Linked DNA regions of Elephas maximus indicus. The protein of the gene in region 1 binds, or shares a complex with, the protein of each later gene. Links are inferred from orthologs where the notes say so. Each region holds a gene or a part of one and is shown on either strand. Other genes may lie near its edges. The genes, in order: ALK and ALKAL2.

Region 1 (15,499 bases):
GTTGTAGCTGGGCACCGTCTAGTTCTTCTGGTCTCAGGATGATGTAGTCTCTGGTTCATGTGGCCCTTTTTGTCTCTTGGGCTCGTAATCGCCTTGTGTCCTTGGTGTTCTTCATTCTCCTTTGATCCAGGTGGGTTGAGACCAATTGATGAATCTTAGATGGCTGCTTGCTAGCGTTTAAGACCCCAGATGCCACTCTTCAAAGTGGGATGCAACATGTTTTCTTAATAGATTTTATTATGCTAGTTGACTTTTTTTTTTAGTTGACTTAGATGTCCCCTGAAACCATGGTCCCCAGACCCCCACCCCTGCTACGCTGGCCTTCGAAGCATTCAGTTTATTCTGGAAACGTTTTTGCTTTTTGTTTAGTCCAATTGTGCTGACCTCCCCTGTATTGTGTGCTGTCTTTCCCTTCACCTAAAATAGTTCTTGTCTACTATCTAATTACAGAATGCCCCTCTCCTATGCCCCCTTGTAACCACAAAAGAATGTTTTCTTCTCAGTTAAAACTATTTCTCAAGTTCTTATAATAGTGTTCTTATACAATATTTGTCCTTTTGCAACTGACTAATTTCACTCAGCACAATGCCTTCCAGGTTCCTCCATGTTATGAAATGTTTCACAGATACCTCACTGTTCTTTATTGATGCATAGTATTCCATTGTGTGAATATACCATAATTTATTTATCCATTCATCTGTTGATGGGCACCTTGGTTGCTTCCATCTTTTTGCTATTGTAAACAGTGCTGCAATAAATATGGATGTGTGTATATCCGTTCGTGTAAAGGCTCTTATTTTTCTAGGATATATTCCAAGGAGTGGGATTGCTGGATTGTATGGCAGTTCTATTTCTAGCTTTTTAAGGAAGCACCAAATTGATTTCCAAAGTGGTTGTACCATTTGACATTCCCACCAGCAGTGTATAAGTGTTCCAATCTCTCCACAGCCTCTCCACCATTTCTTATTTTGTGTTTTTTGGATTAATGCCAGCCTTGTTGGAATGAGATGAAATCTCATTGTAGTTTTGATCTGCATTTCTCTAATGGCTAATGATCACGAACATTTCCTCATATATCTGTTAGCTACCTGAATGTTTTCTTTAGTGAAGTGTCTATTCATATCTTTTGCCCATTTTTTAATTGGGTGATTTGTCTTTTTGCCGTTGAGTTTTTGCAATATCATGTAGATTTTAGAGATCAGGCGCTGATCAGAAATGTCATAGCTAAAAACTTTTTCCCAATCTGTAGGTAGTCTCTTTATTCTTTTGGTGAAGCCTTTGGATGAGCATACGTGTTTGACTTTTGGGAGCTCCCAGTTATTTACCTTTTTTTTTTCTTAAATAATTTTTATTGTGCTTTAAGTGAAAGTTTACAAGTCAAGTCAGTCTGTCACATATAAGCTTATATACACCTTACTCCATACTGCCACTTACTCTCTCCCTAATGAGTCAGCCTGCCCCCTCCTTCCAGTCTCTCCTTTCGTGACGGTTTTGCCAGTTTCTAACCCTCTCTACCCTCCCATCTCCCCTCCAGACAGGAGATGCCAACACAGTCTCAAGTGTCCACCTGATACAAGTAGCTCACTCTTCATCAGCATCTCTCTCCTGCCCATTGTCCAGTCCCTTCCATGTCTGATGAGTTGTCTTCAGGAATGGTTCCTGTCCTGGGCCAACAGAAGGTTTGGGGACCATGACCGCCGGGATTCTTCTAGTCTCAGTTATACCATTAAGTCTGGTCTTTTTATGAGAATTTGGGGTCTGCATCCCACTGTTCTCCTGCTCCCTCAGGGGTTCTCTGTTGTGCTCCCTGTCAGGACACTCATCAGTTGTGGCCGGGCACCATCTAGTTCTTCTGGACTCAGAATGATGTAAGTCTCTGGTTTATGTGGCCCTTTCTGTCTCTGGGACTCATAGTTCTCGTGTGACCTTCGTGTTCTTCATTCTTCTTTGATCCAGGTGGGTTGAGACCGATTGGTGCATCTTAGATGGCCGCTTGTTAGCTTTTAAGACCCCAGATGTTACACTTCAAAGTGGGATGCAGAATGTTTTCATCATAGAATTATTTTGCCAATTGACTTAGAAGTCCCGTTAAGCCATAGTCCCCAAACCCCCGCCCTTGCTCTGCTGATCTCCGAAGCATTCAGTTTATCCCAGAGACTTCTTTGCTTTTGGTCCAGTCCAGTTGAGCTGACCTTCCGTGTACTGAGTATTGCCCTTCCCTTCACCTAAAGTAGTTCTTATCTACTAACTAATCAGTAAGTAACCCTCTCCCACCCTCCCTTCCTCCCCCCCTCGTAACCACAAAGGTATGTGTTCTTCTCAGTTTATACTATTTCTCAAGATCTTATAATAGTGGTCTTATACAATATTTGTCCTTTTGCATCTGACTAATTTCACTCAGCATAATGTCTTCCAGGTTCCTCCATGTTATGAAATGTTTCACAGATTCATCACTGTTCTTTATCAATACGTAGTATTCCATTGTGTGAATATACCATAATTTATTTATCCATTGATCCATTGATGGACACCTTGGTTGCTTCCAGCTTTTTGCTATTGTAAACAGTTAGCAGCTAATTTCTGAACCACTGCACCACCAGGTCTAGTAAGTAATGACTGAATTAATATTTAATAAATTTAAGTACTTTCCTTTCAGCATGAGGATTATTAGAGTATAATGTATATATGACTAGAGACATCCTTTCTAAAGAAATCTTGTTTTGTTTTTCCTCTTTCCACCATTATGTCTTATGTGTCTCCTCTTTCTGTCTCTCTGTGATGCCTGGGAACCTCAGATTTATTTTCCAGATCACTCCCAGTTTAATCTATTCATGCCAAGGTAGCCAGAAAGCCTTAGTCAGCCTGGTCCCTGTCAGGTCCATATAGCACATGGTTTCCTCAGCCAGAACACATTCCAATCCTGACCCTCATTTTTGAAATTTGATCATAATTGCTTCTTCTTTTACCTTGGCAAGGACTTATCAGATGTCAGGCTCTGGGAAGGAAATTTCTCATGTGCTATCGTATTTAATCCTCACATCAACTTTGTCAGAAAGAGGTTATAATCCACTGTACAGCTGAAGGATAAGGCCCAAGAGGTTAAATCCTTGCCCAAGACCAGGCATTGTCCAATAGAAATATAATATGAACAATATTTCTAGTGTTGTTGTTGTTAGGTGCCGTTGAGTTGGTTCCGACTCATAGCAACCCTACGCACAACAGAACAAAACACTGCCCGGTCTTGCGCCATCCTTAAAATCGTTGTTATGCTTGAGCTCATTGTTCCGGCCACTGTGTCAATCCACCTCATTGAGGGTCTTCCTCTTTTCCGCTGACCCTATACTTTGCCAAGCATAATGTCCTTCTCATGGGACTGATCCCTCCTGACAACATGTCCGAAGTATGTAAGACGCAGTCTCGCCATCCTTGCTTCTAAGGAGCATTCTAGCCGCACTTCTTCCAAGACAGATTTGTTCGTTCTTTTGGCAGTCCATGGTATATTCAATATTCTTTGACAACACCACAATTCAAAGGCGTCAACTGTTCTTTGGTCTTCCTTATTCATTGTCCAGCTTTCACATGCATATGATGTGATTAAAAATACCATGGCTTGGGTCAAGCGCACCTTAGTCTTCAAGGTGACATCTTTGCTCTTCAACACTTACAAGAGGTCCTTTGCAGCAGATTTACCCAATGCAATGTGTCTTTTGATTTCTTGACTGCTGCTTCCTGGCTGTTGATTGTGGATCCAAGTAAAATGAAATCCTTGACAACTCCAATCTTTTCTCCGTTTATCATGATGTTGCTCAGTGGTCCAGTTGTGAGGATTTTTGTTTTCTTTATGTTGAGGTGTGATCCATACTGAAGGCTGTGGTCTTTAATCTTTATTAGTAAGTGCTTCAAGTCATCTTCACTTTCAGCAAGTAAAGTTGTGTCATCTGCATAACGCAGGTTGTTAATGAGTCTTCCTCCAATCCTGATGCCCCGTTCTTCTTCATATAGTCCAGCTTCTCGTGTTATTTGTTCAGCATACACCAGGGTTGTATTTTTTCACCATACCTATTTAATCTGTATGCTGAACAAATAATACAAACAATATTTCTAGTAGTTACATTAAAAAAGAAATCAGTAAAATCAATTTAATAATATATTTTATTTAACCCAGTATATCCAAGTATTATCATTTCAACATGTAATCAATATGAAAAATGATGAATGAGGCATTTTGTATATTTTTTCATGCTACTTCTTTGAAATCTGGTGTGTTTTTTATGCTTACAGCACATTTCAATTTGGACTAGTCACAATTTAAGGGCTCAATAGCCACATGTGACTAATGACTACCATATTGGACAGAAAGGGTCTAAAGCATAAATCAGACCATGTGACTTCTCCATTAAATTATCTAGTGTCTTCCCATTGCAAGCAAAATAAAATTCAAACTCTTTACAATGGCCTATGCAACCCTAAATGATCTAGACCTCTTCAACTCTAGCATTCACTGTGCTCCAGCCATATTGACCTTGCAGTCCCCTGGGAGAAAAAACATATTCCCACCTCAGGGTCTTTGCACTTGTTGTTCCTTTGTGTGGAATGCTATATCCAGATCTTTGCATGATTGCCTCCTTTCCACCAATCAAAATTTAACTCAAATTTCACCTTCTCAAAGAGGCCTTCTCTGACTATCTTAGGTAAACATATTTGAATGTTTATTGTCTATCTCCCACCCATTGTAATGTAACTCTCTAGAGGTTAGGCAGTCTTTTTCTTGTTCATAGCATTATTCCTGTAGCTTAGAACAGCATCCTGTATATAGTAGGTACTGAAGAAATGTTTATTGATCAAGTGAGTGCCTGACTTAATTAGCCTTAAAGGTGTCAGTCACGTTTTGTCTGTAGTCACATTGCCTGGATTTGAAATGCCATTTTTATTACTGCTCCCCTTATAGAGAAGAATTCAAACCCATCCTCTTTGCTTGAGTGGTTCACTTCCCCCTTTCCAGAAATTAGGAATTTCCTGAGGAGGGTTTTGGTGGCTTCAATGCCCTCCTTGGCTGTTCTTCTCCCAGTATGAGGTCTAGCCATTTTCCCCTGCCCCCAATTTAGCTGCCTAAGTCATTTATAGGGTTACCCAGTCCACTTCACTCAACTGTCTCCACAGGGCTTCCAGTACCTTCTGTGTCTGACTCTGTGCATCTCCCTCCATATCGCTCTTTCGGTTTCTTCCTCTGTTCACCTCTGTCCTTCTCAGCCTGCTCAATCATACTCCATTTTCATTCAGAGCAAAGGTCATTAGGAGTTTAAGGTGATGGGCTTCTTAGTCAGATATGTGAGTTCAAATCATGGCTGTAACTCTTATTACTTATGCATCCTTGCTATTGGGCATTTGCCCTCTATGAGCTTCAATTACTGATCCGTAAAATGAAGATAACAATATTATGTCACCTTGTAGGGTTACTGTGAATATTAATCCAATAATGCACAAGAATTATTTAAAATATGCTGGCACATAGTATGTACAAAGACATGCTAGCTATAGTTGCCCACACTTGATCTTTCTCACTCCATTTCCCCCGTTTGCTTTTTATTCCACTGTGCTGTCTCTTGTCCTCTAGATGGCAATGGTATAAGGTAACCCAGCTGCCTAGGAAGAAAGTCCTGAAGATCTACTTCTGAAAAAAAAGCAGCCACTGAAAACCCTTATGGAGCACAGTTCTACTCTGACACACATGAGGTTACCATGAGTTGGAATTGACTTGAGGAAACTTCTCTGGGCTGCTCTTGTCCCAAAAGGTCACTGTAACACACACACACATACATACTTACAGATGCATATGTATGGAGCCTGATAGATTCTATAAATGTTCATCTCTGCCTCCTTTTTAAAATTATCTAACAAAAAGGTAAGCAAAACCTTTTAGATTGAGTATGAGTTAATCTACAGGGAAAAGCATCTGTCTCTTCGTTGAGAAAGTTTGACAGAATTTATAGAAGTGGAAGGATTCATGGAGTCCCTTGAGTCCATGAGGTGCAAAGCTCAGGGACATCATCAGGGAACTGTTAAACCTGGTGGCTCATTTGGAGTTGCAAGTCTCTGCAGCCCCCTAGTGGCCATTGATTGCAGCTGAGGATTTATAAATCCTGAAAAATACTCCTTATTTTGCTTGGGGGTAGAATTATATAATTAAGAGATGAGTGGGGTGGGAGACAAAAGGGCCTATATTTTAGTACTTTCTCCTTGGGTCAGATAATTCTTTGCCCTTAAGCTTGTAAAATCAGTGTACCCAGTCTTAGTTCCAGGAAAAGGCCAGATGCCTGTCAAATTAAGCTAGTTGCCAAACATAGAGCCATAAACAAGTCATTCTGAGAACTGGTATTCTTTTTGTTATTAGATCTTCCAGTTGCCAAAAGTCAATGCCACCATGCTGAGAAAAACCCACCTGGGACAGCAGAGGCTCTGCTTGGCCGCCACCTCCTGTAGGGCCCTGGTCAAGTCACTGTCCCCTTCCGAAGCCCAGTGATTCTATGAGGAGGCTCCTCTACTGCCTGCCAGGCTGTGAACTCGTGGAAGGAGTATCTTGCCTCATTTTGAGCTCTGACTGTTGGTACCACTCCTGGAATGAACCTTTGTGAGGAACGGAGGGATTCGTGTGAACCAAAGATTGCAGTCTTGCTTATGGTTCTAGTGAACCTCTTGTTTTAAACACAGCCATTGTCTGTGTCCTGTGTTGGCAGCTTGGGATAGAGGGAGGGAAAAGAGATCAGAGGTATTTCACAGTACGTCAAAAAGTCTGGGATTCTGAACTCTCACTCCCAAGGCTGTGAGAGCACCTGGCCTTTCCTCCTTCCAGCAAATTCGCCCCTAGGTCTTCCTTGAGGGGACTGTGGAGGAGTGTGGCAGAACTGCTCATGGAGGGGAATGGGAGAGCAGTGGTTAAGAGCACACGAGTGAGAGGCTGGGAGCCACACATGGCTCCGTGACTCAGGGAAAATCAATCAAGTTCACTGCCACTCAGTTTTCGCATTTGTAAAGACAGCATTAAAAATATTTATCTTGCAGGGACTAGAGGAGGTGGCACCTTTGCGAGAAAAAGCGGGGGGGGGCGGGGGGCGGGGACGGGGGGAGAGCGTCTGACTGAAGCTCTGAAATTTATTTGTTGTAACTGAAGAACAACTAACTGTAAGACCCGCGCCACCTCCACCTCCCCCACCCCTCAATCTGCAGACTTTTCCTGTGTGGAAGGTGCATTCAAATAATGAAAGGGTCAAAGAAGATTCTGTCTCAGGGACCTAATCCAAGCTGTTCTTGGATTTGGCAACGTCGCGCTGTCACCCCTCCCCTCTCCCTTCCCTTCGCCTCCAGTTTTATTCCGGAACCTGCTTTTTTGAAGTCGGAACCATTTAATCTCCCAAATGCATAATTAGGGAGAGCGCTTGTTTGCAAAGGCCTTTTCCAGTCCTCCCATTTGTCCAAATCACACCCCCTGACTGTTCACACAACAGAGAAATAGGGCAGGGAATCTGGAGGAAGAGAAGGGAGAAGGGAGGGGAAAGGGAGGAAGGGAGAAAGGAAGGGAGGGGCGGGCTCTGTGCTTTTCTCAATGAGTGCTACAGATTTGCATAGGAGCTGGTCTGGAAGTGCCATTGGCCGACGGGCGCGGACGGGGCGGAGCGGGCCGGCGCGGGCCGGGCAGTGGCGCGGAGTTGGCCAACGAGACCCGCCCCCGCCGCGGCCCCGCCCCCTCCAGGCGCGCGCTCGCGGCCCCGCCAGCTGCAAGTGGCGGGCAGCCAGGCAGATGCGATCCAGCGGCTCCGGGGGAGGCAGCGGCCCCAGCAGCTGATACCTCCCGCTGCCGCTTTCCTGAGGGTCGCGGGGCATCAAAGCGCCTTCCGGCCGCCTTCTGGCAGGCCACCCAAAGCCGCGGAGCCTGGCGATGGGTGAGGAGGGGGCAGCAATTCGGACTCCCCTGCGCTGAATGCTTTCATTCAGCTGCTGCCGCCGGGGCCGCCTCGGTGCGAACTCCGAGGAACCGAACGAGGACGCTGCAAACTTGCGCGGCGGTGACCTGAGCCTCGGCTCCGCGGCGCTAGGGCTCCCACTCAAGCCCAGAAGTTCACCGGGCATGCAGTCCGAAGGCTTCCCGTTGCGGAAGGTCAGATGAGGGTGAGCTAGAAGGCAGCTTTGCCCTCGATTCCCGCCCAGAGGAGGGGAAAGGAGCGCTGAGGAGCCGAGGGGTACTCAGGAGGCGGCCAGGAGAGCGGGCACCAGCTCCGGAAAGTTGCGGAGGATTGGAAGCCGGCAGGAGAGCGGACGGAACCCGGTTCCGGCCCCTGGGGGCAGGAGAGGACGGTACCCAATTGCCGCCTGCCTTCGAACCTTCGTAGTTTCTCTCATTTGGAGCACAGCGAGCTACAGACGGGGGCGCGACACAAGGTCCTAGTTGCTGAGCTCAGCGCGCTTCAGGGTTTCTGGAACCCCCTCTGAGCTGCCAGCCCCATTTCCCTCAGATTCTTGCTTGCATCCTTGAAGTTGGGGAAAAGTGAGAGAGAGGGTCCAGTGCACGCCCAATCCCTCAGAGGTAGGTGGAAGAAGCCGTTCAGGGCCAAGGGCTCTTGTGAGACTCTTCCCACTTGGGGGGAATTGAAGGACTGGTCTGGGCGAGGGAGAGTCGGGAGACAAATATAAACAGCTTCCTTTTGGCGGGATGGGTGCCATTGGGTTCCTGTGGCTGCTGCTGCCCCTGAAGCCGGTGTTTGCGGCGGCCTCAAGCTCCGGGACCGGGACTAGCCAGTTTGCGGGCTCACTCGCCGTGGGGCCGCCACTGCAGCCCCGGGAGCCGCTCAGCTATTCTCGCCTGCAGAGGAAGAGCCTGGCGGTGGACTTCGTTGTGCCCTCGCTTTTCCGCGTCTACGCCAGAGACCTGCTGCTGCCACCGTCTTTCCTCTCAGAAATGAGGGCTGGACGGCCTGAGGCGCGCGGCTCGCTGGCTCTAGACTGCGCCCCTCTAGTTAGGCTTCTGGGGCGGCCGCCCGGGATATCCTGGACTGCAGGCGCGGGCTCCCCGGCTCCAGCCCGGACACTGTCCAGGGTGCTGAAGGGCGGCTCGGTGCGTAAACTCCGGCGAGCCAAGCAGCTGGTGCTGGAGCTGGGCGAGGAGACAATTATTGAGGGGTGCGTAGGGCTCCCAGAGGAGGGGGCTGAGGGACTGCTCCAGTTCAACCTCAGCGAGCTGTTCAACTGGTGGATTCTCCACGGCGAAGGGCGGCTGAGAATCCGCCTGATGCCCGAGAAGAAGGCGTTGGAAGTGGGCAGAGAGGGAAGACTGTCCGCTGCGATCCGCGCCTCCCAGCCCCGCCTTCTCTTCCAGATCATTGAGACCGGTGAGCAGCTCCCGCCTGAGGGTGCCGGGATTTGGTTTTTTAGTCACACCAATTTGCAATCACTATTAACAAACCCTCGTTTCCAATCCAAGCCTTTGGTTTTTACCCCTCTTTCCTCTTTCTACAAACCTCTTTCCCCTGTTCCACCATATTTTCTTGTTTTCTCCCTAAATGCCGTCACTTCCCAAAGGCCTTCCTTTCTCTTTAGAAACCAAGTTGGCGGGGGGGGGGGGGGAGTTTCCTGCTCTTGGCAGAATGCCTCCTTCTACCCACTTACACATGGTCAGAGCCAAAATTGGATGCCCTTCCTCCTGGGCCCCTGGGACGGTTGACATATTGCTATTAGTTCTAAGGTTCCAAGCTTAGTTCTGTGTCTCAAAACTATTGCCCTTCTTTCTCCCCCTGTCACCACAGATTTTGGGAATGCAGTACAGTTTCTCAGGGAATATAGAATTTCTGGCCATATTATTGAATCCTGTCCAACTGTCCCCCAAAATGTTGGCTTTTCCAAGGATTACCTCTTCTTTATTAATTCATTACCCCACTCTCCTGCCTACTATCTGCTCTCGAACTTTCATTCTTTCTCTCCGATGTCATTGGGAGAGCCTCAGAGGAAGGAGATGTGCAGAGAGAGAGGAAAATTGACAAGATTGTCTTTGGGGGAGTTACTGTGGACCAGGGAGAGACAATAGTTAGTTTTCCAGCCTTTCTTTCCCCACCTTCCTCTTTTCCTGTGTATTCTTACCTTAAACGTCTGCAGCAGTAGCTCTCGATGACAGTCTCTGGCAGCCCTGTTTCACTGCAGAGCTCTCTGCTGAAGACTCCTGAAATGAGGTTTCTGTTTCATTACTCCCTCATTTTCTTCTCGTATTTATCGAGTTGCAGGAGTTGGTGCAAGTACGTACTTCTAACTCGTCCCAGAGTATCCTTTGACTGGAAGACCAAGTGGTTTTGAATGGATGTTTCTCTTGTAAGATCACTGGGGAAAGACTTGTGAATAAAATATACAATGTAAATGGTGAGGAAAGCACAAAAAAGAAATCATGCATTTTAAAAACCTGCACTAATTCCATTGAGCAAATCCAGTTTCTTTTCTATCATTCTTATCGTCAGAAATAAATGAAATTTTTATGCTCCACGGGTTACTAATGTCTAACATTAATTGGATGGAAAGCATTGAAAAATGCCCATTGTAGAGCTACAAGTATCTCCCATGCTTGTCCTGACACACACAGAAACTCCCCCACACACCCGATGCTCTCATGCAGCAGGGATATTCAGAAGCTGAGGTTTCATAGTCATTACACGGAAAACATAGGGGCATGTGGTATTTAAGGAAAACAATATGGATGCATATTTCACCATTAGCATTAATGGCATTGGCACCTAAAATGACCCTTTGTTGGCCAGTGCTGAAATTTATGTAGTTCATAGTAAGAGTAAGAGACAAGGTCTGATGAGTTTGCTAGTTCCTTCTATGGACTGAGGTGGGAGACCAATACTGTTGTCTTATCAAGAATAGCTTTGCAAAGAACAGATGGGCTTTAATGTCATTGTGGCTTCTGTGGTTTATAATAAAACATTCTCTTTTTGTTCCCAATGTTTTTGTAATGGGTATAAAAATGACTTCTCTGGAAATGTAGGTTTCCTTTCACATTCATGTCTGTGAGCATCACTGGACCTTCCCCCATCATCCCCTGATAAATGACCATAAGCCTCAGCAACCTATGTCAACTGTTGCCAGATGCTGGTGAAAGGCAACAGTGGTCCTTTCTGCAACCCTAAACTTGCCTACAATAAACAGCCAAGCTCTGCATGAAGTTATCAGTGGGCATCTCTGAAGAGTCACTGCTTAATGCATTTGAAGAATATACTCCAGTCAAGTCTTAGATAAGGATTTGGAGCAGCTGATCGGGGGTGTTTCATGTAGAAAGGAGCACACCCCAAGAGCTGCTCCACTACTGGCAGTAGAGAAGCACTGTGATCATCCCAAGCCTTCTCTCAGCAGTACAGTCTATTTGGCAGCTGGACCAAGCCCTTATGCATCATTTGACACATCTAGTAGGACTGGTTTCAGAAAGAGCCAGGATTCTGCCATTAAAAGGCTGGAAATTTTGGCCAAGTGTTTTTCAACAGGATGGGGATCAAATGATTATTGATGAGATCAAATAAGACACTAAGTGTAACTGGATGAACTTCCCATGACCTCTAGAGAGACAGGAAGCTTATTGAAAAACACTTTGGGCCTCGAGGTGATCACACTTGGAACAGAATGGACTTCCCTGTCTCTGAGCACATAAGCTGCATGCAGCTAGGCAGCTGGCCATGGAAGACTGGTCTTATGCCTTACTACCACTGCCACCCTAGCCTTATCCAAATACAGTCTCCAGTGCAGTCTTCCCCATGAAGTAGACACACCCTGCTGTATCATGTTTCTCATTTGGAGAAACATATATCATTGTGATCTTATTAATTTTCTTGTATGAAAATTCAAGCTTAGGTCTTGCCACTTGGATTGATTTTTCTATTTATCATGTTTAGGAAAATGGATTTATTCTTTATATAGGCCCTGATTTATAGAAAAGATATTTAACTCTTCCGTGACATGGGATCTTCAGCTATGTTTCTGCTCAAATGACTGGTGGTCTGGCCTAGAGGTGTATGATCATGCTGATGGAGCTATTCGTGGGCAGGAGAGTGGAAGACATAGTTGTCCTGTCATCCCTTTTGGTGAGGGGCCTGGGAAAGGCTGAAGATAGCTTCCTAAACCTGAGCAGAACAATGACTAGGGATGTGGTAAAAGTGGAAAAGCATCCAGTTAGGGCAAATCAATACCTTTGTGTTACATGTGGTTTGGGCTCTCTGAGAGGACAAAAAGATGTCGGAGAGGCATTATAATACATGATGTGCTAATGATTTTTCTTTGTGGGTTACTTTGAATTCATAAGTGGGATCAGTGTTCCCCAAAGTATCCATTCATGACGAAGAGGTAGAGAGGCAGTTTCTAGGACTGTATGAATGGTGATATGCCCTCCTGGGACAGCTCAAATCACAGGAAATAACATCTGTCTTGAGGTTAACACATTGCCTGTATCTCTGGTTTGTATTCTGTTTTGTAAGTATTTTGAGTTCTTGCTTCTCCCATACCCCAGGCAGAGGTCTGGAGGATGATGAACTGTGGGATAGTATGGGCTCTTTCCTTGTAAGCACACCCCCTTCTCCACTCCAGGAAAAGGAATATATGGCTTTGGGCTTTACGTGTACTATGGGGAGGCCTGAGCTATTTAGAATAGATGTGTGCAATGCAGTACACCTGACCCTTGACCTCACATATCTGTCAGTCCCTTCTCATTTCATTTCTGGAGAAGGTGGAGAGAGCAAGGGAAAATAGAGGGGAAATTGGAGCTCCCAAAAGAGATATCATTTATTGGAGGTGAATTGGGTGAGTTGGAACTAGTCCAGAGAAGAGCAGAAAGCTGATTTAAGAGTTGAAGGGACTGATTTATGATGATAGATGAAAATAATTAAATATATATGGCTGGGCTAAGTGGTGATAAAGGGAAAGCCATGGTAACAATCTGCAAATCTCTGAAGAGGGAGAGTGGCAATGAAGGAGAGGAGTTATTTAGTGTGGTCCATGGAAGTAATAGGATGAGACTTGTAGAAGGAAACTTCGGGTTAGATATCAGGAAAACCTTCTTATTTTCAGAAATTGATATTCCTCTGACTATGGAAAAGAATTCCAAGGGAGCAGGGAGTAAGGTAAGATGTGGGTCAGACAAGCCACAGCATTCATAATTAATCAGCTCTGTATTTTGGAATGTTGAGAAGACACAACTGACAGGAGAGCTGGGATGGGGAACAGCAGCAGGAATCAGGATCTTTTGAGATATAATTCCTGAGAGGCTTTGGTGTTTCCAGGGGGAAAAGAAAAGAATTGTGGATTATCTTTGAAGGTGTTGGGAAGAGCTTACAAGAAGATTGTTAGTGAAAAAAATATTTTGAAATTACTATGTTTACTCCCCCCACTCATCAAAATACTTTGATTAAAAACATATAGTATTTCTCTGGGGTGCTTTATGTCATCTGTATATCCTATGGGCAGGCACACTTACCAGAGCATTATGTATCTAAGATACATCTATAGGCATGTGTAGCATCGAATCATTGGGTGGGGCAGAAGGTGACTTGGGTCTTGATAAGATGGCAGTGAAGTATTTAGTTCTATATTGATCAGTTCTAGATTTGGCAGACACACGCTGCCTGCCTGAAAACCCTTTGACATGATGAGAATGGATACTGACATCTGAAAGAAGAACTTCAATCACATCCAATTGAACATTTCACAAATTTACAAAAGAAAAATAAGATCCATGTGGGTTTTGGGTATGTGGTGTGGAGTATGGAAGGAGAGCATTACCATTAATAAAAATAAATGTCTCCATAAAGAAGTTGGTCTGCTGAAGGTTAGGAGGGAGTATACTGTGGGTGGGAAGAGAAGAGAGTGAGGGGTGAGTCAGCAGAAGTTGAGGTGCCCTGCTGTCCTTAGGATTACTGCCAGATAACCTCACTTCATAGAAACTTTTCCGGTTTGACTTGTAAAGGACATTTTGCCTTATGTTATAACCATTATTAGTATTCTATTACAGTTGTATGGGACTTTACAATTTATAAAGCACTCTCACATTTGTTATTTTTATCAAGGCTATGCAGTAGGCAGGGATGTATTTGATTTATTTTACAAATGGATTAACTGGAACCCAGATGTTTGATAACCTAGAAACTTTCATTTATGTATTGAGAGGTTAAGAGATTCCAAATACTGTCCTAGGTACTGACTAGGACTGCAGTTCTCCTTGCCTTCAAATTAGGGCTCTTTTCACTAAGGGAATTATCTCAAGGTGCATATTACAAACAACCAACAAGCTTTTAAATAGATAAAAACTTCACATTATCCTTGTCAGAAGGACATCCAACAAATATTTGGCGGGCAGTTGCCATAGTCTTGGAAAGGTTCTTTAAGATCTTTGAGGCCCAGTTTCATCATGAGAAAAATGGGGATAGTAAAAATTTCTATTTCAAGGTGTTATTTGAAGATTAAATGCTGAGCCTACTGCCTGACGCATAATAAAGTGTTCCATTACTATGAACCATTATGTGTTTTTCTAGTAGCAGCAACACTCAGGACTTCTGGATATGGTTAGGCTGGTTACATACTCTACAACTCCAAGAGTTCCATATACATTTTAGTCTATGTGAATGGTGCCATAACGCTCATAGCAGCAGTTAGAATACTGTGGGTTTCCCATGAAACTAACTTCTAACTTCCAAGAGATGATAGATGGATCAGTGAAAAATGATGAGTGTGACCAGGGTAATAGTTTCTATTGTCTTACCATGGGAGGCCTGTCATTTCCAGAAATGTGGATGAGAAGGAGGATTGAAGTGTGGTGTTTACTTCATTTCCATCAACTAGTATCCTCTTGTAGGTCTTTTGATCTTGTATTCAGTCCAAAGATTCAAATAACATACTCAAAATCCAATTTTTTTTTCCTCCAGAAAGAAGCCAAGCCTCAACTTTATGAAAGTATGAAAGCTAATATTGGGGAAGAGTGAGATATAGGCACCACAGAAGAGTAGTTTTCAGATAGTGGCTCTTCCTTAACTGAGAGTTTGAGAGTTATCTGTTGTCTTAGTCATCTAGTGCTGCTATAACCGAAGTACTGCAAGTGGATGGCTTTTACAAAGAGAAATTTATTCTCTCACAGTCCAGAAGGCTAGAAGCACAAATTCAGGGTGCTAGCTTTAGGGGAAGGCTTTCTCTGTCAGCTCTGGGGGAAGGTTCTTGTCATCAATCTTCTCCTGGATTAGGAGCTTCTCTGCACAGGAACCCCAGGTCCAAAGGACATGCTCTGCTCCCGCTATTGCTTTCTTGGTGGTATGAGGTCTCCCTGTCTCTCTATTCACTTCTCTTTTTTATATCTCAAAGGAGATTGGCTTAAATTGTAGATTAATCTTATAGGTTGAATCTACATAAATGCTGCTAATCCCATCTCATTAACATCATAGAGATAGGATTTACAACACATAGGAAAATCACATCAGATGACAAAATGGTG
Region 2 (15,621 bases), about 41 Mb from region 1:
TGAAATGTGTCATAGTTATCCATTAACACTTTATAGCTTGGTTCATTCTCCCAATTTCATTCCCCTCATTTACTACTCGTTCTTCTGATGCCGAAGAAAATGGTGTGAAGGATGAGGTTAATCATACCTGCCATGCCTCAAGTCAGCGTTTATTCTTACATGCCTAAGGCAGGGGCCGGGGCTTTGCCTCAACATTCATCCAGTGCTATCTAAATATTTATAAGCATTGCTTTTCTTTTCCACAGTGAGTGTGTGTGTATGAGAGAACTACTCTTTTATCCATTTTACATGAATCAAACTAGAGTAACTGCTAGAGAAATGCAATATAATATCCCCCCCCTTTTTTTTTATTAATAACTTCTGGTTAGCCGATAAGTTTTCTGGGAACCAACCATTAGAGGGCAGGAACCATGTCTTATTTACTGTGGTATATTCAACATCTGGAGTGCCTGCCTGGCAAACACAAGACATACAATAAGTATAAACTTGGCGAAACTGAACTGTTGCTGTCTAAAGTGACTGAATCCCAGGGCATTTATGTCAGGAATATAAAATTATACCTTTTTAGTCCATCTGGCATGGACTGCAGAGCCTATAGTTGGTGTTATACGTTTACAGATCAGCCGTCAACTGGCCCAAGTAAAAATTAATTCCTAAACTCTTGATGTGTGTTGGTATTTTTACTATTAGAGATTATGCCAATATAACTGAAAGAAACATTTAAAGAGGATAGCTATTCTCTATAAGCATACTGGCCTAATGATATAATCAAACTCCAACACATTTAGCAGTTGTATCTATAAAATTTGCATGGATAGGTTAATGTGCTCAATTATGAGTGTGAGTGAGTGAAATCCTAAAAGCGAATGAGGATGGTTTTAAACATGTATGTACTCTAATTTATGCACCAAGCCATGTGCTGGAAGTAGTTAGCTACTGTGCTGTGTTTGCAAATAACACGTAACCCATTGCTGTCGATTCCGACTCATAGAGACCCCATAGGACAGAGTAGATCTACCCCATAGGGTTTCCAAGGCTGTAAATCTTTACAGAAGCAGACTCCCACATCTTTCTCCCACGGAGCAGCCGGTAGGTTCAAACTACTGACCTTTGGGTTGGCAGCCGAGTGCTTCACCACTGCGCCACCAGGGCTTATTAACATATATACTCAGTGCCAATTATATCATTAGATGAAAAAAGCCTAATGGCTACCTGAGGTATGTCTATCGGCCAGGAGCGGGTACCTTTTATTTATGACCAACGTTTTGAGATTTGTTGAGTGTTGCATCAACCTTACTCAAAGTGCTACTTGTGCCAAAGAATAAGTCTTTCTGAACTCCCATGAATTTTCCATGTCCCCAGTGGGATTCCAATCCTTGGTATGTGTGCCCACACAACTGTGCTGTCAAAGAGCTTACCTTATCCTCCCATGCACACTGGACTGACAGCCAACCGGGTCAGAAGCCTGGCACATCTTTTATAGTCTGTCGCGGAAATAAATCACAGACAGACACCTGTCAGTTACCTGAGCAACACTTCCTGATAAAATCAATAACGAGGTTTTTTCTTTTCCTTTTTTTTCTTTTCGCAAGTATATCAGTTATTGAAGCCATTTATTTCTTTAAATATTCTGAGTTTTCTGGAAAACTCATCTGCTGTCAAGGGCTCTAAGTTGATGGACTAGTTTTTGGAACTCCTGGGGCTGCAGCATCACAGGCTGAAGTTAACTAACCTGACTAGGGGTGGAGGGAAGGAAGGGGGGTAAAGGCTGAGTCTACCGCACAGCAGCTCTCTCTGCCCCCTCTCTTCTCTCAGTGGCTATCAGAGCTCACTGAAGTAACATCAGTTTTTCCTAGGACACAAGGAGGTAGGGTCTTTCCATACCTTTGTGGTACCTAACTTGTAGGTCACGTGCAGACTGAGTCCTCACCTGACGTGACCATAACATAAAGCCCTTGGCGTTAAAATTCTAAAGTGGGCCAAAGGGCAAGTAACAGAGCAGAGAGACGTAGACTAGATGACTAAAGGAAGGAATGGGCCAGTTCTGAGAGCAGGCTGATTTTCCTTCGTATATAATTTCCCGTTTGACTATTTTGATAGGTGTTACTGAAAATAAGTGAGGTCTAGCAATCATGGCCATAAGGGAATTTTCTTAGCATGAAATTCTATGGAAGGCTGCAGCAGTTGATAGATTTCTAAAATTTCTCAAGAGCAGCAAAATCCTGCACAAAAATGGAAGAGTTCATACTTTGAACTGAAAATCTTAATGAATGAGTAAATTGACAACTATCAAAAAATGTACACAATACGTCAAACAGATAAGTAGCTAACTCTACTTCTAAAAATCTGCCTTCTAAATATGTAGAGTACAAGTTAGCTTGGGTTCAAGGGAGAAAAATGATCGAGGTCATCTGGACTTCTGGCTTCGTGGCTCTTTTTTATCCACTGCATCACAGTTTTTAGAATAAAATTACCTTAAATAGATCATTTAGCAGGGAGATAGGGGACTATGTAAACCCAAGTGCTGAGCTAATCAAAGAATTGCAACTACTTTCCATCTGCAACATGCCTGGAAATCCTGAGATTGATCACATACTCCCACTAAACACGAATGTTCTCTAAGGCAGTGATTTGCATGCAGGTCATCTGAGAAACTTACTAAAATTCAGATTTTGATTCAGTAGGTCTGGGGCGGGACTTAAAATTCTGCCTTTTTAACAAGGCACCAGTGCTGTTGGTCCTGGGATCCACACTTGAAGTAAGAAGGCCCTGTGGCTCCTTTTCAGCTCTAACATCCCAGGATTCTATGCCTTTCCTTTTGTATAGCCTAAAGCAGTACAGAAGTGGTCTGACTCAGCTCTGCAGCTCCTGATGGCGTAAGGAGAGGTGGAAACCCAGTTAGCAGGCACCCATCTGAGTGTACAGATCTGCCAGGGGTCCACCTCTGCATGGCCCGGGGTGAACTGTCTTCCTTTATGGATGGCCTTGGTATCTATCATGAAGCCAAGTGACCACTCAAAAGAGGTAGCGTACGTGGCACGCAGGGTGATGTATTAGAAAAGGATCGACAGTCAAAACGTGAGGTTGTTCTAGTTTAGCTAAGATCTGTGTGACAGTTTAAACCTTTTTAAGTCGATTTCCTCATCCAAAAATGTAAGGATTAGATGTAATGACCCCTAAGATCGCTTTCAAGTCACAATTTATGACTCTATTATTGTAAGACTGTGTTTCATATAAAAATATATAAACATTTAGTAATAAAAATAAAAAGGTTTTCTGACTCCAGGAAGCAGGTTAATAATTCTCAAGCAGAAGGAGGTTCCACTTTGAAGGAAGGAAATAAGGAAGCCACGGTGTAGTAGGCACATACGGTATGAATAAAAAGGTGAGTCTGAAGCCATGCTGGAAAATTATGGAAGCAAGGCTGCTTAGGAAATGTTTGCAGCTTGCCTTGGAGTTAGAATGGTGTAGTGATAACAGCGTGACCAGATAGGCCTTCATTTGAATGCCACGTGTTCCCGCTTGCTTGTCATGTGGTAGGTTTCACTTAACGTGTGCCAGTGCCATGTGTAAAAGGATAGTAATTTACTGGGCCATTGGGACAATGAATTGATAGGGTGTTTGTGACTGCGACTCGCAAAGTCCCTGGTACATAGTGATGCTCTAGAAATGAGAGCTGTTATGATCTGGATTAATTTCCCTGACTTAAACAGAAAAAAAACAACTACTTCATGGAAATTGGCTTTTTGGGAGGCAGGGCAGGTTAGTCTGATCTGCTGGCCCCCTCTGGATATTCTCTGAAAGTAGTTACTAAGATATCTGGTATACTTGTAAGCCTTTTCTCTGGCCAGTCTTAAAATGAAATACGAGTTTTAGTCCCTATGAGAAAAATTGGTCTGGGGCCCTATAGATACCACTCCAGCTAATAAATCACTCGTTACTGTTGGGCGCAGTGTGACGAGCGTGGTGAGCCCGTTTGGGGGAAATAAAAGGCGTTTTGCTGTGAATAGATGGCCAGAAGGAGCAGGTTGAAGAGAACCACTGGCAGCCAGAAAAGCAGGGTTTTGAAATAGCAATAAAATTCCCAGATGATGATGACGTAACTACTGATGGAAGAAGTCTCTGCTCAGGGTACTGGAGAAGGTCAAGGAAGTCCGACCAGAATGCTTCCGGTTCATCTGCTTTTTTACTCTCCAGACTATAGACTCGGCAGTGGCCATTTTACCAATCCATTCTTAACCTTGTTTATCATACTTCAGCAGATACAAATACAGGCATCATCCAGAATTCATAATCAAAACAAGAATGTGAATTACAGAAGCCTATTCCAAGGCTTGATGAATTCCAATGAATGTAAATAATTTTCCATTTTGTCACAAGTTTTGCTGTAGAATTTACTTATCTTCTTCAGTGGTCTGGATACCCTGGTCCCTAGCTCCATAGTTAAGAAGGAACACATATTAGCAACCACGAATTTCAAAGGAAGGGGCCTATCTAATGAAAGGACATGAAGTATATTTCAGAGAATCACTCGTCTGCCCTGTGCCTATATTTATAAAGGAATTTACAGATGTTGTCACTTACATGCAGGGATGGTGCAGTCTCTGGTGTTGTGATAAAGTCTATGGAAATGTTTGCTGCACTTTGGGCTAAAATAAAGAGGACCTATAACAATGAAGAAGAAAACAGATTATAAGGATTCAGGAAGATGCAAAGGAACTTAGGGAGAGGTGAAGGAATGAAAAGAAAACTTACCTGTAAGATGTTTTAAAAACTTGTCCTTCATCCTTAGATCTCGGGGGACAATTTCTGTTTCCGGGGGAAGAAATTAAAAATGAATTGTCACATTGCCTGAAAGAAGCATTTTTGTTCTCATGTAATCTTTAGCTCATGTTGAAGAAAGTTATTGGGAATTCTGCATTAGCCATATTCTTTGCACTAAATAAAACAGACTGGAGCCACCCTTGATTGTTATGTATGACCTAATGTGAAAACTTGTACTCGAGGACATACTGTTCTTCAAATAGAATGAACTACTCGCAAACTCCAATGTTATCTGTCCAGTCTCTACCATCTGGATACGGGCAGCAATCATAAAGTTACAAGGTGAAGGTTATTTCTGACAGTGAGCTTCCAGTATAAATCACTTTTAGAAACTTTTATCTTGCAGAGCTTGGGAATCAAATCTCAAAACCTCCCTCAAAGTTCTAGGAAGAGAATCTGACCCTTCAAACAAAAAAAATTTTTATAGGATTTACTTTTTCCTGGTATATATTTAGATAAAGGATTAAATGCCTTCAAAACCACCTGTTAAGATGGCTGATGTAAATAAATTGAAATATACATTAACCTTGTTTATAAGATAAGCATACATTTCCCAGGAAAAGACTCTTCCAAGCAATTCTCCTTTTAAAGCATCTTTTTTTTGGCACTTGTAAACAGTGGTTTCACAGACATTCCTTCTGGTCTCAGCCTTTGTGCTTTGTTTATTACAGTCATCTTTAATCATCTTCACTTATCTGTTCTGCACTGATAACTTAGCGATGATGGTATGTGATGCCACACTTTATTTATCTTCCTACAAATCCTTAGCTCCTTCCCACATCTCATCTGAAGGAACGTTTCCCTTAGAATCCTGCTCACTCGCAAGGTCTAGATACCTCTCTGATGTCAGTCTTCATTTACTCCTAACTTTAGTCATTCTCTATAAAATTGACCCTATCATATTTGACCTAATTGTGTCATGAAAAGCATTAAAGCTTACATGCTTTCTTCAGAAATTTCCCATGGGGCAGTCACTCTGGGAAAGGCTCTACCGAAGGGGGAGAACTCTGAAACATTTCTCTTTCAGCTGCAACTGCTTTGCTGAAAATATTTCCATTTCCAAAATAACAGATGACAGACAGTTCTATGCAGAAGTTACTGCCATTGGTAACAATTCATACATCTTAGAAGTGGGTTAGTTAGGATTGTCTGTGAGGCAGCTGTACGTAAATCTTACTATTTTCCGTTTCTTTGTAAAAATATTTCCGAGTTTTGTTTCTGTTCTTTTAACAATCGGAATTGATTTCTCTTTTTAAAATGTGTTTTCTCAAAGACACGTCTACTTTCAACCAGATACAAATCTTCTAGTGCCTTCTTTGGTATGAAAGTTAGATAAACACAGTCAAGATCGAAGCTGTTAAAAGTAGTCCATGGTTATATGTGTCTGTGAGCGTGTGTGTGTGTTGGGAGGGGTGGGGGAGACTTGACATAAATAACGTAAAGGAGGGGCCGACTTACCAACTCTTTGCTCCTCAGGATAAACTCCGTAGTCAGTGACCTCCCTACGGCCCAAAGTATAGTCATGTTTGCTGAAAAATTGCAATCTCTTGTATTCCCCCAAGTGGTATTTTTTAAGTTCTTGAATGATCTCCATGATGAGGTTTAAGAGAGTCTGTCTGTCTGTGATTTCTCGAGATTCTGTTCTCCCTCGGCACGGTCCCACCGTCACCAGCAAGAACACCAGCGCCAGGAGGACAGGACGCCTCGGTCCACTCATGTCAGTTTGCATAGGGTCAGGATGGTGCGTTAAGTTAGGAATGAAGCAGGAAAAAAAAAATCCAACACCCTCTCCGGGATCTTTGTTTACTGAAAGAAAGGGGTGGGGGGAGACAGGGAAAGAAAGTCAGGGTTGTTGGGGGAGGGGAGAATACACTCAGTGAAACGCTCTGGGCTGGAGAACCCGGGAGAGAAAAGGGGCCAGATCCCCGCTTATACTGCGATCAGACCCGGCCACCTGGCGCTGGAACGACCGGTTTACGCAGTCCTCCAGGCGCCCCTCCGCGCTCGGCACTCCCGGAGCGCGGCTCTCCCCAACCCCGCCTCACTGCTCCGGGCGAGCCTGGGAGCCTCCAGCGCCCCGAGGAAGGGCACCCCTCCCGGCCCCGGGGCCGCACCGGGGCGCTGCGGGGCGACTCCGCGCTGAGGCGCGCGGCCCAGGTGAGGCGGGAGCGCAGAGCCAGCACTGCTCCACCGCGACCCCCGCCCGGAGAACCCGCTCCACTGCGGGAAACGCGCTACCTGCGGCTGCGATTTTAAACTTCGGCCTCTCTCTCGCCCCTTTAACGCCCTGGCTGCCAGGACTCTTCCCCCGTTTGCCACTCTCCCAGTGTCCCATCGACTCCGGGCGAGCCCTCTGAACTTTTCGTATGAATTATCCTGTCCGATCCTGTATCACAGCATATCAACGGAACCTTCTATTATTATTATTAAAAAAAATGATCCTCTGGGCGGCTTGTCTGTCTGTGGGGTGAACACTTTAAAGTTGTTTGACCCCTTTTCTGCTTCCCTTACCTCAAAAAAAAAAAAAAAAAAGAAAAAAGAAAAGAAAGCACATGCAGTTTAGTGATCCTGCGCCCAGTTTGGGCTCCTGCAAATAAGTTTCTAAATCAATGCCTTTTTTTTTGGCCCGGTTGGGTCGCCGTCCGGGGACCTGCAGTGGCGACCGCGCCCTGGCGGAGCCCCTCCGGCGGCCCCGACTCGGTCCCGAGGCGGAGGAGGCACCGCGCGCCCCGAGCGCTCCGCGGGGAGCCGGCGCCGTGCAGGGCACCCAGGTACCGGGAACCCCGGGAGCGGGCAGGGAGGCTACCGCGTCCCCCACCCCAGGCGCCCTGGCCCCGGCCCTGTCGGCGACCGCCAGTTCTCGAACCCCGGGCAGGCGACGGAGGGGACGCCGGCCGCGACGCTCTGCGAAGGACGGCCAGGGCCACTCGTCTGTCGGTGCGGGGCCAGGCGGCGGGCGCGGGGTGCGGGACGCGAGCCCCGGCCTGGGAGTTACCTGCCTCCGCGCCCTCGGAGCCGCCGACGTCTGTCCCGACGTCTGGGCACTGTCCCCGCCGGCCCGGAGCCGCCGCGCGCCCACTACTCCATGGCCCCGGCGCCTCGGCTTATATAGCTTATAGGATGCGCGGGAGCCGCGGTGCCCGGTGACTCGGCCAACTCGGGGAGGCTGGAGAAGCACAGGCGCCCGCGCGGCCGCCTTCCGAGGGCGCGCTGCGGCCCGAGTGTCCCGGGCAGCTCCTCGCCGCGGGCCAGCTCCGCCGCCTCTTATTCCCGCGCCTGCACACGTAGGGCGCGGGTCCCCCGGGGCTGCAGGAGCCGGAGTCTTTAATTAGAAGCGCGTTAAGAAGCCGCTGAAATATTCATACCCTTTTGTGTGGATCTTCGTCAGACCCCCCCCCGCCCCAATCTCTCCCTCTCCCCAGCCCCCCCTTTCTCTCTCTCAGTCTATTTCCCTCCGTTCCTGTCACTTGTGACAGGATGAGAAGAAACGCCTTTACCAGGAACTTGGATCTGTTTTTGTCTAAATGTAGATCTTGGGGCTATTAAAAAAAGGAGCGGCTGCTTGATTGCCTCGACATTTAATAAGTCAATTAAAGTCTATCTATTTTGGAGGGATCAGATGGTGTCGCTGGGGAACTACTCTAAGGACGCCGAGACGGTCTGCACCGTCCTAAGCCCCGTCCCTGGGCGAGTGCCCCCTCCCCAAGGCCGCTCTTCAAAGAGGGGTGGGGGCAGCAACGAGGGTCAGTGGGCTTGAACAGAGGCCAAGGGAAAACACAGTAAAAAGTGCAGGAAGCTTGCGGCTGCAACAGCTACCTGACAGAGGTATGTGCAGGCGCCCCCTTCCTCCCCGCCCTACATCCTCTTAGGAGAACGTATGTTACCTGTGGCTGCGTGAAAACAACGCACGCGACTGCTTTGTAGAACCCCCAGACATCGGTCCCTTTTGGAGACTATACTGTCCCAACCTGCCCTGCCTTTTTGCATGTTAATCCTTATTTTAAATTCTCCAGCAGACTGACCGTTCTCTCCCCTCCCCTCTGAACAGTCTGCAGGAGAGAAATCTCTGACAGATCCCTCCTTGGGGCACTTGCTTCCAGGGCTAAGTAATAAAGTTTTGGCTCTTTGACTGTAGGCAGACACAGCTGTGAGAATTGAACAATTTACCTCCTTTAATTTTTTTTTCTTGTAAAATGTATTACCAATCAATTGAGCACTTTCCCATTTTATTGGCACTTTCTGGGCAAGAGCTGGATGCCCTCCAAGAAAGCGGATCTAATTGGGAGAGGTGTTCTCAGTACAGTACCAGAAAGGGAGAGTATGGGCCAGAATTAAAAGCCCTCGCCTTTGACAGGGGTGGTGGCACAAAGGCAAAGACGCTAAAGATGTTGCCCGTGTTTATGTGTGCATGGACTAAATAGTTCATTGACACAGGACAGACTTTTAGATGGCTAAATTTTCCAATAGCTCTCCCTGTTTTCTCTCTCTTCTCTTCCCTCTCATTTCCTCTCTCTCTCCTTCCCTTCATGCTGTTTCCTTTTGAAGAGAATGTATTTGGTGGATTGGGGTTGGGGTCGGTAGAGTAGAGATGGAAGATATTAAAATGTGATCATTTAAACCCCCCTCTATTTTGGTATGGGTTTATATCCTGCTCTCTTGAAAGCAACCCGTTTTGCTTTCCCAGTAAACATTTTTTTCAACCAATATGACTAAAATGTGACAGCTTCTGTTAAAATATACGCAAGAAAAATACAAATTCATATCAAATAGATCTTACCCAACAAATAGATCTTAGGCAGATGAAATATATTTTTCCTTTCCCCGTTTTCTCCTTTCTGTATAGAAAAAGAAATGGAAGCTCCTTTTGCAAGAGCGCCGCCTAGTGGCAAACGCTTGCCTCCTGCTAATACCGTTCCCAGGTCTCAGTCGGCTGCCATCTTTTAGCCTGGCCCCTGTAGGGCGCACAACTTCAGTTTCCAGTATAACAGAAGCATGTTTTAAATATTTTGGTATAAGACTGTATTTGGGGAAAAGATCTTGCTCTGGTGAAAAAAGCAAACAAATTAGACCAATCCCATGTTATTTTAAATTTGCTTAGAATCTTTGATTTCTAATAGTGTTTTACTAAACCAAAACTAGATTTATTTAAAAAAATACCAATAAGATATATCCCTCCCACCCAAAGTTCCACCAACCAAGAAAGTGTTGCCAGTCACTAGTATTACTCCTTTTTTTTTCTTTTGCAGTTTTTAATGGGACAAATGGATTCTTTCTGAATAAATCTCAGGTCTCCTTTCCACTGCTCAATTGTATATGCCAGCACTTCAGCCTAACTCATTAGATACTTTCATGCATAAATGATGAGGACAGAATTGGTCCTTGGTTGGTGTTTGGATTCATGAGACCTGGCAGTTAAGAGTCAGACAATTCATGTGTCGATCCATTCATCTTTGCAAAGGTCTGGGTGGAAATGACCCCAGGTACTTCTCATTTTATGTAAAAGAAAATTTATGGACTTTTTCAACTTGCCCAATTAATGGAAGAGTGCACCGTTTTATAAATCTGTGCCAGAGTTTTCAGTTTTTGGTATTTTCGGGGTGAATTCCTTGGAGTTTTCCAAATGCCATAAATGTATGGATTGCGTGAGTTGTTAACACGGCCTGATTAACTTAATTGTTTGGCTTTGCTGGTTAAGACAAAGGAAAGCACGTACAAGTATACGTGAAGATGTGGATTTGTGTATGATAAATCACTTAGTCTTCAGTTTCTTTTTGTGTAAAATGAAATGGTTGGACTAGACAGCCTCCAAAGTCTAAAACTGTGTAATTCTATGATTGTTGCCAGAAAAAAGTTTGAAAACAATAAAATACAATGTTTCCCACAAAAAGTTCAAGATAATTCACTTGAGACCGTCAATGTGAGTTTCACCATCTGTTTTCAGGCAAGAAGAGGTGATATGTTCAAATTAAGTAATTTAATTTCCTCCTTTAGTAAGTGTGCAATTTCTACTGTAAGGGTCTAAAAGCCAAAAAAGATAAGAGAGAACATTAAGCAACAAACTACATGCTAGGACTACTGGGGGAAAAAAAATATTTTGCTGGATTTGATTCAGTTTTGCATCCTTCTTGAGAAAACTGTATAGCGTCACAGGAAAAAAATTAACTGGGACGAGGCAGGAGGGGTTAAATCGTGTTTTTTCTACTTTTACTGTACATCTGTGTCATGAAATGAGCAAGTTACTTTTTCAATTTATCAACAGTATAAAGCTCCAACATTTCAACTGCAACCATTTTTCTCTTTTCCCAATAAGGTATATATGTTTTATGTGAGATGAATAATCACTGTCAAAGTCTTCTAAAATAGACACATATTAACTATTCAATGGATCGGTGTATTTGTTCAACTATTATGTTAAATCATTTAACAATCTAACTAAACACTTATTAAAGAGAAAAATCATTGTCTTTTATAAAGGATAACTAGGTGGTCTAAAGAAATACTATTCAAGATTAAACTTTTACCAATTCTGTTATATTTACTGTCAATATCTTATTAGTATGCTAGCCATGTACCAGAATAGGTTTAAAATATTTAGGAAGACAAGCTCTCTAACAGACCAGTCTTTCTAGAATAAATGTAACAAATGTAATGCCGTATAAGTAATAACATACACATGATATCTAGCAGTCAGTCCTGCTGTTAGGTGCCATCCAGTTGATTCTGACTCATAGCGGCTCCATGTACAACAAAATGAGACACTGCCCAGTCATGCTCTGTCCTCACAATCATTGCTGTGTTTGAGCCCATTGCTGCAGCCACTGTGTCAATCCGTCTCATTGATGGTCTTCCTCTTTTTTGCTAACTCTGTGCTTTACCAAGCATAATGTCTTTTGCCAGGAACCGGTCCCTCCTGATAACATGTCCAAAGTATGTGAAAGGAAGTCTCACCGTCCTTGCTTCTAATGAGCATTCTGGCTATACTTCTTCCAACACAGATTTGTTAGTTCTTCTGGCAGTTCATGGTGTATATTCAATATTCTTTACCAGCACCATAATTCAAGGCATCAATTCTTCCGAAATACAGTGTCCAGCTTAATTCTTCCCTCATTTATAGAGGAAGCAAACTATTCTAATGTTAGTAGGTCACTCATTCTCTTCCCATTCCTTGACACACGCTCTCATGCAAAACCGCATCACAGCATGTGTTCAGAAGTGATGTGATCCAAAGGCTTTGGATAAGGTCTTCACATACTCTATAGCATGATTAATTTATTGTGGCTCTGTTATTATTATTTTTTTTTGTCCTATGGCCAAGCCTAAGAGCATTATTCATAGGGCAAAAGCTTAAGGGGAAGTATAGGCTTTGTCTTATTTGTTCAAAGTGGTTTAGTTATAAAATCCAACCAGAGGGGAAATCTCAAGGCACTTGGACATTTATTTACTCTTACCGACTCATCAATCAAGCACCTTTTTGATGGCAACAGAGAGAATAAATTTGAATGTGCACACCCGTCATCAATATGTTAAAAAAAATTAAGAAGGTTCTCCTATGTACTGAAAAGCCTGTCTCAAATCTATGAACAGTCAGATCCATCCATGGGAATATCTGAACCAAATGTAATCATGCATGTTGAGGAACAACACTACTATGCCTACAGTCCATCTGTTTTCTGGGTATTTTTCTGCAGGAGATTCCATACCCTGATAGAAAATTTTACACGTTATGTTCTGGGCCTATGCAGGTATTTCCAAAATTCCCTAAAGGTGCCGTATACCAAAGATAGTCACTAACAAAGTAGTATTTTTTTTTTTTTAGAGCAAGTTAATCACTCTAACAAATAATCTATAAATTTTAGTGGCTTAATAATATAAAGATTGATTTTTCTCTAGTTATAGTCTAAAACATGATGAGGGGCTGCTTCATGAAGTCATTCAAGCTCTACCCTTCCTAAGGACCTATGAGTTCTTCACTGGATCCTTGGCGTTTGGCTTGAGAGGGAGGGAAGAGACAAAGTGTGTAAGATTGAGTGGGAAGTGTTATGAGCCATGCCTGGAGGTGGCTAACATCACTTCCTTCAACAGTCTATTGGTGAATACTCTTTAGTGAAACAATTCCAGGCTATTCTTTCACAATGGGTGGGTTCAAAGTCAATATGAATAAGAGGAATGTGCTTTCAGAAAACTTATACTTGTTATGGCGTTTTCTTTTTCTTTAAGCAATTCGAGAAAAATTAGTACTCAATTCCTGAACCCTGGCCAAGGTTTGGAGCCCTGTTGGTACAGTGGTTAAGAGCTGGACCAAAAGGTCTGCAGTTTGAAACCACCAGCTGCTCCTTGGAAACCCTATGGGGCAGTTCTACTCTGTCCTATAGGGTTGCTATGAGTTGGAATCGACTTGATGGCAATGGATTTGGTTTTGGCCAAGATTTGGGGGCACTGTATACCAACAGATAATTTTCATGCAAAAGAGACTATTGATCATTTTCCGTAGTGTTCTTTCCCCTCCCCCCATCTCCACTCATAAAGTAGTAGGAGTACCTGTAACTCAGGATAGAAAGGAGTTCAGCAACACTTCCTTACATCTCTGGAGCAACTCCCAGTTTCAGAATTTATGATTTAGTCATATTGATGTATTAACAAGTTCTTGCCTACAGGACTTTTACTACTCTTTTTCCTGGCACATCTTTCTTTCCTTCCTTCTACTCCCTGATTTCATTGACTAACTCCTACTCACCTTTGTTCTCAGATGAGATACCGTATCTTCTGGGAAATCCTCCCTGTCTTTCATAAACCCAGAGTTGGTGCTCCCATTACTTCCTGTGCTTATTTCTACCATAGCATTAATTTCATTTATTCCTTTTAGCTTTTAGCATATCCTAGTGTATGGATAAACCCTGGTGGCGTAGTGGGTAAGTGCCACGGCTGCTAATCAAAGGGTTGGCAGTTCAAATCCTCCAGGCGCTCCTTGGGAACTCTGTGGAGCAGTTCTACTCTGTCCTATACGGTCGCTATGAGTCGAAATCGACTCTACAGCACTGTTTTTTTTTTTTTTTTTTTTGTGTATGGATTCATTTTTTTTAGTGTATGGATTCAATTGTGTCCCGCAAAAATGTGTGTCAACTTGGTTAGGCTATGATTCCTGGTATTGTGTGGTTGTCCACCATTTTGTGATCTGATGTGATTATTCTATGTGTTGTAAATCCTAACATCTAAGACGTTAATGAGGGACGGTTAGAGGCAGTTATGTTAATGAGGCAGGACTGAATCTATGGGATTAGGCTGTATTTCAAGTCAATCTCTTTTGAGATATAAAAGAGAAGCTTGAGCAGAGAGGAGAGAGACTTCATACCACCAAGAAAGAAGTGCTGGGAGTGGAGCATGTCCTTCGGACCTGGGGTCCCTGCACTGAGAAGCTCCTAGACCAGGGGAAGATCGATGACCAGGACCTTTCCCCAGAACTGACAGAGAGAAAGCCTTCCCAGGGAGCTGGTGCCCTGATTTCAGACTTCTAGCCTCCTAAACTGTGAGAGAATAAATTTCTCTTTGTTAAAGCCATCCACTTGTGGTATTTCTGTTATAGCAGTGCTAGATAACTCCAGGAATTGACAGAATATCAATAGAGATGGTTCAACAGATGGATGCAGCACTGGAAGTGCTCATTGTCTGTGCCAAGAAATTTGGAAGACAGCTACCTGGCCAACTGACTGGAAGAAATCCATATTTATGCCTATTCCCAAGAAAGGTAATCCAACAAAATGTGGAAATTATAGAACAATATCATTAATATCACATGCAAGCAAAATTTTGCTAAAGATCATTCAAAAATGGCTGCATCGGTATATCGACAGGGAACTGCCAGAAAATCAGGCCGGTTTCAGAAGAGGACATGGAACCAGGGATATCATTGCTGGTGTCAGATGGATCCTGGCTGAAAGCAGAGAATACCAGAAGGATGTTTACCTGTGTTTTATTGCCTATGCAAAGGCATTCGACTGTGTGGATCATAACAAATTATGGATAACATTGAGAAGAATGGGAATTCCATAACAGGTAATTGTGCTTATGAGGAACCTGTACACAGATCAAGAGGAAGCTGTTTAGACAGAACAAGGGGATACTGTGTGGTTTAAAGTCAGGAAAGGTGTGTGTCAGGGTTGTATTCTTTCACCATACCTATTTAATCTGTATGCTGAACAAATAATACGAGAAGCTGGACTCTGTGAAGAAGAATGAGGCATCAGGATTGGAGGAAGACTCATTAACAACCTGTGTTATGCAGATGACACAACCTTCCTTGTTGAAAATGAAGAGGACTTGAAGTACTTAGGGATGAAGATCAAAGACCACAGCCTTCAGTATGGATTATACCTCAACATAAAGAAAACAAAAATCGTCACAACTGGACCAATAAACAACATCGTGATAAAGGGAGAAAAGATTGAGGTTGCCAAGGATTTGATTTTACTTGGATCCACAGTCAACACCCATGAAAGCAGCAGTCAAAAGATCAAAAGACACATTGCTTTGGGCAAATGTGTTGCAAAGGACCTTTTTAAAGTGTTGAAAAGCAAAGATGTCCCCTTGAAGACTAAGGTGTACCTGACCCAAGCTATGGTATTTTCAATCGTATTATATGTATGCGAAAACTGGGCAATGAATAAGGAAGACTGAGGAAGAATTGATGACTTTTGAATTGTAGTGTTGGCAAAGAATGTTGAATATACCATGGACTGCCAAAAGAATGAACAAATCTGTCTTAGAAGAAGTACAGCCAGAATGCTCCTTAGAAGCAAGGAT

What was found.
Region 2: the proteins of ALK (region 1) and ALKAL2 are in contact, whole or in part, in a cryo-EM structure (PDB 9G5I), measured with the Homo sapiens proteins. The link is inferred for Elephas maximus indicus from reciprocal best matches to the Homo sapiens genes ALK and ALKAL2. Residues at the interface, in NP_004295.2 of Homo sapiens: Leu684, Tyr739, His755, Ser758, Leu760, Phe856, His857, Glu859, Leu965, Tyr966, Thr967, Pro968, Leu970, Lys971, Val972, Met973, Glu974, Glu978, Asn980, Val992, Glu994, Cys995, His996, Met997, Phe1007, Asp1009; in NP_001002919.2 of Homo sapiens: Ser112, Lys113, His114, His116, Arg117, Leu118, His120, Asn121, Thr122, Arg123, Asp124, Arg133, Arg136, Leu137, Arg140, Leu141.

Annotation. Positions count from the first base shown.
Region 1 is NC_064830.1:49,378,388-49,393,886, reverse strand, and holds the start of ALK (ALK tyrosine kinase receptor), read left to right. Parts: upstream 1-8,704; coding exon 8,705-9,380; intron 9,381-15,499. UniProt on the Homo sapiens protein: Neuronal receptor tyrosine kinase that is essentially and transiently expressed in specific regions of the central and peripheral nervous systems and plays an important role in the genesis and differentiation of the nervous system.
Region 2 is NC_064830.1:8,049,545-8,065,165, forward strand, and holds the start of ALKAL2 (ALK and LTK ligand 2), read right to left. Parts: upstream 6,606-15,621; 5' UTR 6,554-6,605; coding exon 6,283-6,553; intron 4,810-6,282; coding exon 4,756-4,809; intron 4,666-4,755; coding exon 4,585-4,665; intron 1,485-4,584; coding exon 1,420-1,484; 3' UTR 1,419-1,419; intron 1-1,418. UniProt on the Homo sapiens protein: Cytokine that acts as a physiological ligand for receptor tyrosine kinases LTK and ALK, leading to their activation. Cytokine-binding is sufficient to activate LTK. In contrast, ALKAL2-driven activation of ALK is coupled with heparin-binding to ALK.